2 linked regions of the Astyanax mexicanus genome follow. The protein of the gene in region 1 binds, or shares a complex with, the protein of each later gene. Links are inferred from orthologs where the notes say so. Each region holds a gene or a part of one and is shown on either strand. Other genes may lie near its edges.

Region 1 (6,942 bases):
CATAAAGTTATACAAAAGCAGTGTGTAAGACTGGTGGAGGAGAACATGCCAAGATGCATGAAAACTGTGATTAAAAAACAGAGTTATTACACCAAATGTTGATTTCTGAAATCTTAAAACTTTATGAATATGAGCTTGTTTTCTTTGCATTATTTCAGGTTTGAAATATGAGATTATTTCAGCCGATTCTCATTTTCTGCAAATAAATGCTCTAAATGACAATATTTTTATTTGGAATTTGGGAGAAATGTTGTCCGTAGTTTATAAAATAAAACCACAATGTTCATTTTACTCAAATATATACCTATAAATAGCTGAATCAGAGAAACTGATTCAGAACTGATTCCAGAGCTGTATATGGACAGATATCACACCTGGACTGGACTTTATGGCCCTCATGCTGTCAGCCAGTCTCTCCTTGCTGACTTGGCCGATGCGGATGCGATCACTCAGGGCAGCCAGAATGTCCGGGTGGCTGAAGGACATGGTATCGGCCACTTGCTTGACCTGAGGCTCCAGAGAAGACAGCACCTCCTTTAGACCAGCAGCCCCCTCAAATGGAGCAGCACGCAGCAGAGCAGTGCGCCGCTTCCCAACATACACCTTCATATCCTGAGAGACAGCAGAGAGAAACCTGTTACACAATAATTTAAAGAACAAAGGTTCCCTCATTTCTTAAATCCCACCTTAACAATTGGAATAGTGTATGTGCATGTCTTACCGCTGGCAGCAGGGTGGAGCTTTCAGGGATGATATACACCACCACAGACCCACAGGCACTCTCACTAAGCATATGCAGGGACAGATCTGCCTCTGTAGAAAGGAAATTCAAGCAAAGCATGAAGGCAGGTATTTCTATCATCATGCTTAATCATTACTAATCACATGACAAGATAAAACAGTGTATACAATTCAATGTAATATTTTTCAACCTTCAGCACTGGGTTGGTTCAATGCATCTTCTTCCATGATAGTAGCGGTGCGGTACTTGGTTTCATATCTGTACCGCAGCATGGTCTTTCCTGAAGTAGAGAAGATAAGAGGGGTGATCATAACATGCTCATTTTTGCTGACATTTCTTGTAGAAATGTAGAAACTTCGTAATCATCTTACCATCTACTTGATTCTCCTGCTCTCTGGTCTGACTGAGCGGAACCTTTGACTGCAGTTCAGGGCTCAGCGTTCCTCGAGAGAAGACCACCTCTATCTCAACACTTAACTGGAGCTATATACACAGAAAGATTTTGCAGAAAGTATTGCAATAAACCATTTTAAGACATTGACAGAATAATACAAAAATAGCTTAATTATAAGAGTCCATGGAATTTAATCTTAATATAACTGGTTTAAACAAAGTTTAATCTAAATAATCAGTAACCAGTATGGAGGTTCGTAGGAAATAGACATAATGTAATCTATGTGTCAAAATGTCTAATTTTCCAACATTTTTTCTAAAAACCACAAGTATTATTAGGGAGTTTAACATCTTTTTCCTTTGCTACAGCAACATCTTCTACTCTTCTGAAAAGTTTTTTTTTGTGAGCAATAAAAAGGTTTAAATCCTTCATATACAATAAATTCACTGTATTACTGCCCAATGTCTAAGGGCTCTAATCAATATTTGGTGACAGATGGCTTGTGGATGCTTTTCTAAAGAGGTTATATAAGCTCAAAGAAAGTCAAGCTAAAGACCATTTTTTGCTTGGTAGCTGGTTTGAGATGGTCTGAGATGGTCTAAGCTGGTCCTTGATGGTCAATGTGGTTGAAAAGCTGGTCATCCAGACAAAAACCTACCCATACATGCTGGGAGGCTATCTGGTAACCAGATGCTAATCAGCATATTGTGTTGATTTTAATTCTGGTCATGATCAGTCTTGCTGGCCAACTAGCTTGGTCAAGTTTGGGTAACTATATTGGTTATCTAACCAGCTAGCTTGATAGCATGTACAGGGCATACAGAGGATTGAAATTACATTACTCTCCATCCCAAAGTTACAAGTACAATAGTGTTGGCGGGGGGGGGGGCATGCATGAACATTAAAAATGAGGTGTAAAAGCTTAAGGCTGGTAAGGTGAATGAGTGCATACAGTTCTTTAAATGTCGCAGTTGTAAGGGGAACTAAAGTGGGTATGACAGTGCAAGTGGAAGCAGTAGTGCAGGTATGGGGTGTGAGTGCATGTCAGTTCTTGAAAAAAAAATCAATTTCTGTGTTGATTTCAGTACTAAGTTGCAGTACTGTGTTAATGGAGGGGGGGGGGTGTCAGAACGGAGATTTGGTTATATTGATTATCTAGCTAGCTTGGTCTGGTTGATCAAGGCTTATATACCAGCGAAACAATTAAATTAAAATAAAATCAATGAGCTCGTCCAGTAGCATGATGAGCTGGCTATTTTGTTTTATGGATACTCTGAGCCCATATTGCAGGTGTATCTAATAGTATAATGACTCAGAATGTACCTGTAAGGAGTCGAGCTCGCTGATCTGTGAGATGGGCAGCCAGGCTCGATAGGTCTCGGTGGTCTTCCACCACAGAGGGATCCCCAGCAAGATGACCACAGCTGCGATGGCCAGGGCAGCATATTTGCCTCGCTGCTTTTCTGTATTTTAGAGTATAAAATGCGCAATTGTGAACACATGAGGTGCGCATAATAACGGGAAACAGCAGAAACACAGCGTAATAATACATACACTATATAAACAAAGCTACCAGAACCCCCACACTGATTTCCCTTCAGCTTCAGCAGCAGCAGCAGCAGCAGACCCAGCCCTACGGGAGCTTCTGTAACTAGTGTTTAGCTAATTATTACAGCTTCAGTTTACTAAAGACACGCACACACAAACATTCTCATACACTAAACACACCCAGTACAAACTCAATACCCCGCGTTATAAACCTCAATAAAGCCTCTAATGCAGAAAAAAATGCAGTAATATTAATAAATGACTCGCCTGCCTCGATCGATGCCATGACTACAGGAAACTACTACCGGGGCCTGACAAAGCGCTCTGGCCAATCAGAGCAGAGGAGAGGCGGAGTTATGAGTCTACGGGTACCCGGGAAGGACAAATAACGTAAAAAACAACAACAACTATTGTAGCCGATAGATTTTCAACAGTGCATTAAACAAGCACAGGCTACACATCATATACCAGCCAGCCAGAGTTGTGGTTATTTTACGCTTTTAAAGGGAAGGTTTTAGACTGAGTTTGAGCTGGATTTTTTTTTTGGACCTGGCAACCCTGTAGCCACCACAACCTAGCACATTTTAAAGCAGCCGGTGTTTTGCCTCAATGAATCGTTCTCACCAGTGACACCTGCTGTTCAAAGAGTTATATGACAGATTAAATGAATCCTGAGCAAGAGTATCCTTAAATATCTGTGTATAAAATAAATTATTTTGCCACTCTGTCTCAATTAATATAATAATGTATTTTTAATGGAAATAGCTGAGTGTTGTTGTACACTGACACTGAACACAATAGTGCTTATGGAACTGGGGGAGTTAAGCACAATAAACTGCATCAGAGTAGTATGTGCAAAAGGACAAATATAACATTAATTCTTATAAAAAAAGAAGCTTTATAACTGTGTTGGGGTGGAGGTGATAATTTTTCTTCAATAAAATCTACTCAGCATTAGAGAATACATTTTCACATGGCACTGAGGTGCCCGAAGTGCACAAACCAGCTCAGTGCTAGCCTAGCTAAAGAAAATGTAAATATTTACGAATGTTTTGTTTGCTCCAGTAAATAAATGGATCTTATGTCAACTAAAAAAAACACGAGGTGCTACAAGGCTCGAGCCCTCTTTATGCTGTAGCGACACTCAAAATGAAACGATCACGTGTCCCACAGAATCCGAGGCCTTGTTTTTTAATCAGTCACGTGATTTTTATAATAACGATACAAACCTCGAACCTGCAGGCTTCGACGCTTCACTTCAAATGACCATCGCTATCTTGCAGTGCTAGTTTAGCTGTATATAACGAAGCAACATTTAGAACTGAACGCCTTTAAACCGTAATGATCGATATTAGAACAAAGAAGTTCACATAGGAATACCTGATATTTAGCAGTTTAATTTCAATTATACTCCCCCTTTGATCTCAGAAGTCTGAATGACTTCTTTATTCTAACAGCAAGTCTTGGGCTCCTAAAATGTATTTTACTCTGGACTCAACATGGGAGGTTTTACCACCAGAGTAGGATTTTCGGTTATTGGTGGGAGTAGGATTTAGTTTTGGCATTGTGTCATTTTTACAGGATTTACTCTTTACTGTACTTCAGCTTTATATTTTTCTGCACACTGTGCTTAAAAAAAACTCTCCATATACCAGTTATTGTGTCTACTGCTTAAAATGTGCCGTTGGAAGGTTTGTGTCGGATGCTTAAAATGTGTTGAATGGTGCTCTCTAGATGCTCCTAGATTGTGTTTTGATGGTGCACCAGTGTCTGCTAGTTTAGGACGTGCCAGAGTATGCGACAGCCATTTACCACGTGCTGGATGGTGTGCCAGGCTGGTTTCGGAGGTGCAGGCTGCTGTAGATTGTGTCAAATTAAGTGCCAACGGTTTTGTAGCATGTGTCAGACAGCGTGCTGGCTGGTTTAGAGTTGTGGTGATGGCTGCTTAATATGTGCCAGAGGATGTGGTTTAGAATGTGCTTGTTAGTGTGCGCACTACTTCATGACATGCCGGTTACCGTGCCAACTCAAGAGGTGAAGAAAATAAGTCTTGGCTTTTAATTAAAGTGTAGAATTTTTCTTATAATTGAAGCCATTTAACAAAAAGACGTTTTCACATTGTACATGGAAGCTGCTGTGCTTAAATAACGTTAAAGACAGTTTAGACAGCATAAACTAAAGGATTATCCACTTTTTGTATATCCACTGTGGTAGGAAGCTGGGCCTGATAAGATAATGTAAGCACATGCTCTGTGTTTTCTCAAACTCCAACAGCAGATAAAGTGTATATTTCAAAAATGAACAGACATGTCTTGAATTTTAAATTATTTTATTTTATAGTTTTTGTTTCTAATCTTACACACCAAGTGCTTGAGAGGACAACAACACAATGACATCACAGTTTATCCAAACCAGCAGTGACTATGCTCTTTCTCCCTCTGCCAAACAAAACTGCAGAAGTTTGGTCCAAGCGGCAAAGTTAAGCCATGGAATTATGCTTTACATTACGTTATTTACGTTACATGGTAATCTTTATAGTACTTCAGTGTACCAACGTGTCACCACACTGGGGGGAGAGAGAGCATAGCACTCATGCGGAATACACAGAATAATAGAACACATTTAATCATATAATTTTCCATATCTTTCAACCCATTTAAGTTAGTATTCTGTATTTAAAGCAAACAGACGCACACAACCCAAAAGACTCATCACTACAATAGATGAGAATAGAACACTAAATAAATGCTGCTCAGTGTCCGGTGTTAGTTGATCATTGTGAGGCTGTGCGTTGCGTAAGTGTACTGACCTACCCGCCACTCTCTCCATTGGTCCACTCTCTCCACTGATTCACCCCCTCATTGTAGAATAAGACTGATTGTTTTGTTCTTGGTTAGCATTTTCACTGTATTCTGATCAGTGCTAATGCAGACGCATTATGTCTCATAACATGAATGGATGAGACCACACAACACATCAAACTGGAGAGGCTGTAGCTGCACTTTATGGGAATGTGGGAGCTTAACTGACTCAGTGGTAAAAACTACACAAGCTGGGGAAAGGGTGTCAGAACTGAACACTTGTACAAAAAAAGTAAAGAATGTTTTCCAAAAATATAACTTGAACTAGTTGTTAATATCTAGCCGCAGTGGCAATACCATTTACTTATTAAATACAGCACGATGACCACTTTTGGTACCAGTGTTTGTATAACATTAGATTTTTCAGCATCTCCCATAACATCTGTGAGCCTTTTAAGCCCCCCTTAATCTCTTCTTTGAATCTTCTCCTTTCCATTTTCGACACATTTTAAATAGACAGAACATTAGTAGTAGAACATTGCAATGACGATCCTAAAAAGTACAGACAACAGCGCAGGCCTGTGACTGGTTGGTGACATGGAGGGTAGCAGCGGCAAAAGATACTATTGGTCGGCGGCAGCTGGAGTAGGCGGGTGATGGGAATGCTTTAATAGGCGTGGTTGGCCACATACAGGGACTGTCCTGCAGCTCCAGCGGTTCCACTGGACACATACTTGCCCCGAGAAGCCAGGCCATTAGCCTGTGGAAGAGAGAAAAAAAAAATATATATATATATATTTTTGTTACAAATATTATTGTTAGTAAGATGGAGAAAATCACAACAGAAGAGCACAAGGCTACAAGTAATTATACATTTCATTGGCACGGTCTCCCTTCATCAGCTTCCAAGTAATTATGTTAATTAGATATTGATTAGCTTGATTGATTTAGGGTTACAGAGAAAAAAAAAACAAAAAAAAAAAAACATATGCACATCCAGTCTCTTGCTGCATTCTCAAAATCATTCTCAATTATAACAAAATAATCTAAAGAGAACACAGACAGATTTGAGATTATGCTGCACTGGGCTCTACATAAATAAATAAAACCAAATTTTTGTTAATTTAGTTGTGCCAAAATGTACTTGGACATTTTTATTAAAAAATTAATAAATTGACACAGGCTTTTAGTTATGAGAGATTAAATCTTTGCTTGACAGTAATGATTTGGTTAATGAAACTGCTGTAAGATTTATACCTCTAATATCAATATGCCTCTGTGCAGTAATGGGTTTTGAATATCATGTGATATTTGAATAACTGACCTCAGCACGCTTGATAAACTCCTCAGTAGCGGCCTTCTCGTTGTCCCTGGCTCCACGCCAAGCATTGAGAGCAGAAGCCTGCAGGGCGCGGCCATAGGAGAAGGTGAGGGCCCAGGGCCTGGACAGAGGGCAG
Region 2 (7,025 bases), on another chromosome or scaffold:
TCGCCACTTTGAGAGGGATGTAGAACATCTCTTTAGGGGAGCGCATGAGCTCCAGACAGTCGGGTGGGTATCTGTTGGCCTCCAGAGCGTATTTCTGTTTCCTAAACTACAATAAAACACAAGCAGGTTAAATTCACCCCTCAGTAAAGACAGATTACCTTCAATTACCTGTTTAATCAGCAGATACACTTCATTAATAGAACAGATCAGTCTAAATCACAGTAACATGCTGAACACTGAGACAAATTTAATTCATAATTCTAGACCACCTAAAGTATATGAACATCTGTATATTTATTATGCTCGTTAGAGGTGTGAGGAGATGAGGCATGATATTGAGGACTGCAGAGAGAGTTTCTGCAGTACAGAGAGATGAACTCCGCTCTGATCTGTGTGAGGATGTACAGTGAGGACTGATATAAACAGTGTAAATGTAAAACTGAACAGTGTCTCACTGATGAAGACGAGTCCTCCTCTTACTCACCACATTCCTGTTGTAGTTCTGAACAGCCAGATACAGCGCCACCGCCGTGATTCCATCTGCTATCTGCAGAGAGAGAGGATTAACACAGAGCTGTGACTCAGACCAGATCACGCCTGATTCAGATACTCTCTCTTCCTCTTCATCATCTGTCTGTTACAGCCAACACTGCTCTCGCGCTACAGCAGGACTCTCTCTCATGGGAACGCGAGTGTGTTACATACACACACAACATAGAAACACACACGCAAGGTCGCGCTGAAACTCGCTTTACATCAGGGACTCCCAATCAGGAAAACATCAACTTTAATTCTGTTTTCTTCTTCTAATTTTACCAAATTTTCACACAGCAGCACAAACCCAACTTTTACATCAACAATAAACAGAATAGTAAATAAAATAACATTGCTGTTCCCGTAAATGAGCTGCTGGAGCTCCTTCACAGCGTCAACCAGCAGCTCAGTTTTACTCTGCTGAGAAGAGTTTGTTGAACACGTCCAGGTAGCTGCACCGTTACAATAGCAATCCACCAAAGACAGAGCTCACCTGATCTACTCTTAAAGAGAATGATGAAGAAGAGACGCTCTGATTGGTTTATTATTTCACGTTACGCCCAAAATTATAATAAACTCACACCCATGATTAATTAAGAGAATTAGTACAGCCTTTTGTGTGTTTCAACTTGAGCAAGGTGTACTTTTCCCGTTGTTACGATAGCAAAGACACACTGACACCACGCCCTACATCAAGCTGCATGGTACACGGTTGGACTATGGATGACTAAAATTGAGCCCATTGTATTCATACCTATACACACAAGCACAGCTAGTATAATATGGAGGATAGAGGAAAAGAGAAGAGTGTGACAGGGATGGGATTTATTTCACTTTCTTGCAGAAGATTTACAATAAATTGAAAATTATACATATTTACTATAAACACAGACAGGGATATAAAGAGAATGAGACGTAATCAATATAAGACTTCAAATACTCACCATAAACACAATCTCTGCATAGTCCACAACAAAATGAAAGAGGTATATGATGAGGGGCGTCTAAAACAAGGGAGAAACACAGACACACACTAATCTCTAATATCTGCAGTAAGCAGTGATTTAATAAATCAGATCACACGTCTCTGAAACTACAGAACTCACTTCATGAAACACGTCTCCTGAGTACGGCGAGACTCCGAGGTCCAGCAGCGCCAGGCCTTCCACCACTGAGGAACACACACACACACACACACACACACTGTTTTAATACTGGAGATCTGCAGAACTCAGTATTCATATTCTTTTACTGTTTAGATCAAACTGATTGACTAGATTTGCTCCTGACCAGCACAGGGTATAATTCCAGTTGTGTGTAAGGGTTTATATTAGATAAGAGTATAATAAAATGCTGTGACATGATAAGAAGAATAAACTAAAATAGAAAATGATCAAAATAATGTGATGCTGTGATTGTATATATATAAAATAAAAATAAGAGAGCACTTTAAAACGATGAGTTTCTTTGATGTTACCAAATTGAAAACCTCTAGAATATAATCAAGAGGAAGATGCACCAGGAGTAAAGCAGCATAAAGTTATCCAAAAGCAGTGTGTAAGACTGGTGGAGGAGAACATGATGCCAAGGTGCATGAAAAAAACTGTGATTAAAAACCATCAGGATTATTCCACCAAATATGAACTTGTTTTCTTTGCATTATTTGAGGTCTGAAAGCTCTGCATCTTTTTTGTTATTTCAGTCATTTCTCATTTTCTGTAAATAAATGCTCTAAATGAGAATATTTTTATTTGTAATTTGGGAGAAATGTTGTCTGTAGTTTATTGAATAAAACAACAATGTTCATTTTACTCAAACATAAACCTATAAATAGCAAAATCAGAGAAACTGATTCAGAAACGGAAGTGCTCTCTTCATTTTTTACAGAGCTTTATGTATGTATAACATTAGATTAGCTAATTTAAAGCTATAGCTATATATATAAACTGTTGTCATTTTATATGTGTTTAAATATGCACTATTCCTATCACTGAATGATAAAACATTGTTTATTAATTGTAATAACACTAGTAGTTAACTGATAGCAGCTAGTTAGCTTAGCCTCGCTCCTGACAGGAGGTGGGGAACCCAGGTCCAGAAAGTAAAAATCCAGCCCCGGGTTTTGTACCCACTGCCAGGTCGCCTCTGCTGCGGGAGCCGCTCAGGCAGTTGGTATAAAACCCTGGGATGGAGTTTTACTTTCTGGACCTGGGTTCTCCACCTCTACTCCTGATCCATTAGAGCTGCATTAGCAACATTAGCTACATCCACAATATCCCCGCACCGCTGCGGCCCCGAGCCCCGCAGCGCCCCGCAGCCCACCTCTCTTCCACGCGCTGAGCGGCGACACGACCTCCACCCGCTCCGAGATCAGCTCCGCCAGGCTGGAGCGGAATAAAACCGCCCGAACCGTCACCGCCAGAACCAGAACAAGCGTTAAGGGAGCGGCCATCTTCACTGAGGAGACGCGCTAGCCGCCCTCACGGCGCGGGGTGCATTGTGGGAGGTGTAGTTTTTAGAGTAGCGGTTTTGCAAAGGCTCCCTGGTTCGGGTGAACCCGTAGGAAACTACAACTCCTAAAAAAACGCTTTTAAAAATCACCCCCCTTACTTCCCGTGACGACGCCGGAGTCGGCTTCTTTATTCGCCAGCTTCTTTAACCGAACTCCCCGTTCCACCTTAAAAATCCCAGCAGTTCCGTTCAGAACGCGCGCAGCAGTTCTAATGTACCCGCAGCGGTTAGAATGGAAAAGCTGCAGAATTTAAGGTGGACTGGAGAGTTCGATTAAGAAGCTGGCGGACAAGAAGCCAACTTCACCCTCGGCTTTTGTCGCGTGGATTCAACCTCCTAAAAAACATTAATCACCGCGATAAAATAATCATTTAGCGATCTTTATGTCTTCACTGAAATTAAAGCTCAACCGAAACCGATTAGGAGGTGAGCGCGCTTTTTTACACCACCAAAAACTGATGTTAGCCTAGTATTGATTTTAGTCTGCTAGGAGTGATTCTTACCGTAAACAGCGCCGCGTTTTATCCCGAGATAATTAAACAGGAGGATCAGCGGCCTAATTCGTATAAGATACAGAGTATTAAATCATTTTATGGCTCAAATTTTGCATGCATTTTTATTTTAATACTGATTTTAGGCTTTATTTCCAGTTTTTAGTGCAGAATGATAAAAACAGAGCTGCTGTTTTCTATTAGGCCACAGGAGCGCCTGTGTGTTTATATATAAAAACAGACTGATAATAAAAGAGCAGAGGCTGCTGGGAGTCTGTCTGTCTGTTCTGCTGCTAAAATTATGTATTTTTAGTTAGAATAGTAAAGCAGCTAAGCTCTGTTTTAGAGCTAGAGTTGTGTTTTTGTGATTTTGTGTTTTTAATCTGATTAAAGAGCTGATCTGTTACAAATATGCAGTTTTTAAATTTAATATAAGGGCCAGGGATGAGATATGTGTTCCATATTTAAAAAAATGTCCTATATTATTTAAAAAGTGAGGATAAACAGGCGAATCTCATGCATATATCGCATAGTTGTTTATGGTAATATATAATGTTTCTGATTTAATGAGAATATGGGTAAAATGAGATTTTTAGTTAAGCAGGAGGCTTATTCTGCTTAGATATTAAGTTTTAAATCCTTTTAAAATCCTTTTATGGCTCAAATGTTGCATGATGTAGTGCACTTTTTGTATTGGTGTTTCCATGTTTTTTTAGTAAATGCATGTTTTTTCTTTTTTTTAGTTTACTACATAATTTTTTCACACAAACCTTACAATGTATCACAATTTTTGTTGAATGCACCTTTTTTACATTGACTCCCATTGAAAGTGATGAAGGTTTCATTTCTGTCCTGTAAAATTGCTGTATTGTAGATACAAGATAAAACCCACTGCTGAGCAAAAAGAACATTGTTCTGTTACATCTGGTGTAAAAGTAACCTTTCAGAAAAAGAGCATCATACTACAGTAAAACATGGGGGTGGTAGTGTGATGATCTGGAGCTGCTTTGCTGTGTCAGGACCTGGGAGACTTGCTGTGATAAATGGAACCTGAATAAGAATCTCCGTCCATCTGTTCTTGACCTCAAGCTGAAGTGAACTTGGGTTCTGCAGCAGGACAATGACCCAAAACTCTCCAGCAGGTTCAGCTCTGATTGGCTGAGGCAAAACCGAGTGAAGACTTTGGAGTGGCCGAGTTAAAGTCCTGTAATTACTTTCATGTGAATGGGTGTGGCTGATCAGCTGTAGATTGAGTAGGCAGGGTTAAAGTGCAGTTATTGATTAGTGTATTTATGTATTGATTAGTGCATTTATGTATTGATCAGTGTTTTATTTATGTATTGATTAGTGTATTTATGTATTGATTAGTGTATTTATGTATTGATCAGTGTTTTTTCCCGGTCCTGTAGTTGATCTGTACGAAGCTCCGATGAGGCCGCGGAAGCCGAACTGGTCGACGGAGCAGAAGCTGCTGCTGGTGCAGCTGGTGAAGGCCCGGCGGATGGACCTGCTGACCGGCCGGCACTCCTGCCGCGAGATCGCCACCAACCGGCGGTGGGCGTGGGACGAGATCGCCGAGGAGATCTCCACCGCCCACCCGGACGTCCCGCGCACCGGGAAAGAGTGCGAGAGGCACTGGTTCGTGGAGCTCGCTAAAGCTAAAGAGGCTATGCTAACCCATCCGTCACCCACAGGTGAGCTAAGCCCATCCCCCTCCACCTGATTATCTGATTATCCTGTTTATTAATCAGTTTATTATTGATTATTGACTGCAGATCACGTCAGCCCCGTTACCAAGGTCGTGCTGGATATTCTCAAAATACAGAGAAAGGAGGCGGAGCTTAAAGACAGGTAAACTTTCATTATCATATTTACACGCATTTATTTCTTTATCTAAAGAGATTTATTTTTACTTTTTTACGTTTTGTTTCCATTTTAAAACTTTTTTACTTTAAAATATTTTATTTCGTTTTATCATTTCTGTTTAATGAATTTAGTCTGTCTGTCTGTCTGTCTGTCTGTCTGTCTGTCTGTGTGTTTTTAGATTAGAGGAGGAGAGCAGCGTGATCTTCGAGGAGGATCAGGTGGAGGTGAAGTACATCCCCTCTCCGGTTCCTCCAATCATGAACATCGAGCTTCCTGTCAATCATATAAACCACGATATCGTCAGACACGAGATTCCTCCTGTGAGTCCTCCTCGCTCCCCCTCCCCCTCCCCCTCCGCCTCCGCCTCCGGCGAGAAGACGGATCTGGAGATGGCGGTTCTGCGGCGTCAGGAACGGGTTCTCCAGCTACAGGAGGAATATTACTCCCTCAAAATCAAACACCTGAAAGCCCGGATGCTGATGGATCTTTGATGTGAGAGAAGATCCGCGCGGAAACTGACTCTTATTGCCTTAATAAACACTAGAACTCCGGTTTAGAACCTTTAGAACCTTCAGGACTGAAACTGCTGAACCAAAAGACGCCGAGCAGAACCTCCGCTTCCTCCTGAACCTTCAGCCCGAGGACCCGTGGTGAACTCCAGTGTTCAGAGTGTGATATGACACCTTTTCACCAGTAGATGGCAAGGTGGAACTTTATACTCTCAGTAGTGACTCTGTTTGAAGATTAGAGGAGAAATCTGATCAGAGGTGGTTTCAGGTGATCAGACCAGATTTCTCTGATTAAATAGAAATAAAAGTAGCATTTCTGAAGTTAAAACTAGCTCCAGATGTAGATTTATCTCATTAAAACGTTCAGATTCAAAGCTTTAGCTGGGAGGAACGATACGCTGGTGAGTGAAAACATCTTAAATTTAGTGTAAATATCAATATCAATTTCTTTTTATAATTATTTAACTTATTTCTACTAGTTTTAAACGTTTGTATTCAGTGAAATTTATCTTATTCTGTTTTTTTCAGCATTTGTAGCAGCATTGTGTCTTAAACAAGTCAAGAGACTTTTATAGAATAGAATAAGATAATTAATGTAGATATGAGTAGAAATAGGTCATTTAATAACTAGAAATAAGTAAAAGTATCTTCATGTTATTTTATGATATATATGTTGAACATATTGACTGGATTTAATATGATTTCTCACCAAATGAACTCACAGCCCAGTTTTCAGTTCAGCCAATCAGCCATAATATTATAACCACCTGCTGAGTGTTGTTTAGGTTGTTTAAGATCTGTAAGTGATATAAAGTCCAAAAGGATCAAACGCCTCCATCCGGTCGGTACTGAGCAGTGCATTCTGGGAAAACTCCACAGGACCTGTCTGATGTTCTGGAGATGTTCTGACCTCGTCTGCTTTCCATTACATGTTTGTTTCTTGTTAAATTTACGGACTGTCCACTTCCTGCCTGATGCTGCAGATCCAGTATCATATCAGATCATCAGGACTTTTATTATGACAGTATTGTTCTGATTATATTTGATCGACTGTTTAAACAGGTTGTTTCAGCCCTGCTGATTCTTCAGTGCATGTTCACAGTGTTTAAAAATG

The links. The genes of interacting proteins can lie anywhere in the genome.
Region 2: the proteins of pigs (region 1) and pigu are in contact, whole or in part, in a cryo-EM structure (PDB 8IMX), measured with the Homo sapiens proteins. The link is inferred for Astyanax mexicanus from reciprocal best matches to the Homo sapiens genes PIGS and PIGU. Residues at the interface, in NP_149975.1 of Homo sapiens: Ala4, Gly5, Ala8, Thr9, Glu12, Arg15, Arg18, Ala19, Phe22, Phe23, Val26, Leu30, Leu34, Trp35, Thr38, Thr39, Leu510, Leu511, Phe513, Ile521, Tyr522, Leu525, Phe526; in NP_536724.1 of Homo sapiens: Gln118, Phe282, Glu283, His284, Phe285, Leu287, Phe288, Phe289, Cys291, Val292, Phe293, Ile295, Phe299, Tyr300, Ile302, Pro303, Ile306, Lys307, Lys309, Glu310, Thr417, His418.

Annotation. Positions count from the first base shown.
Region 1 is NC_064424.1:13,017,359-13,024,300, forward strand, and holds the start of pigs (GPI transamidase component PIG-S), read right to left. Parts: upstream 3,023-6,942; 5' UTR 2,971-3,022; coding exon 2,952-2,970; intron 2,600-2,951; coding exon 2,460-2,599; intron 1,226-2,459; coding exon 1,114-1,225; intron 1,023-1,113; coding exon 933-1,022; intron 814-932; coding exon 722-813; intron 613-721; coding exon 375-612; intron 1-374. Other genes in the region: aldocb (fructose-bisphosphate aldolase C-B), read right to left, coding at 6,153-6,245, 6,810-6,942. UniProt on the Homo sapiens protein: Component of the glycosylphosphatidylinositol-anchor (GPI-anchor) transamidase (GPI-T) complex that catalyzes the formation of the linkage between a proprotein and a GPI-anchor and participates in GPI anchored protein biosynthesis.
Region 2 is NC_064412.1:58,073,827-58,080,851, reverse strand, and holds the start of pigu (phosphatidylinositol glycan anchor biosynthesis class U protein), read right to left. Parts: upstream 3,010-7,025; 5' UTR 2,987-3,009; coding exon 2,857-2,986; intron 1,706-2,856; coding exon 1,641-1,705; intron 1,539-1,640; coding exon 1,479-1,538; intron 548-1,478; coding exon 485-547; intron 107-484; coding exon 1-106. Other genes in the region: uncharacterized protein si:dkey-6e2.2, read left to right, coding at 3,429-3,471, 4,946-5,230, 5,312-5,387, 5,581-5,893. UniProt on the Homo sapiens protein: Component of the glycosylphosphatidylinositol-anchor (GPI-anchor) transamidase (GPI-T) complex that catalyzes the formation of the linkage between a proprotein and a GPI-anchor and participates in GPI anchored protein biosynthesis.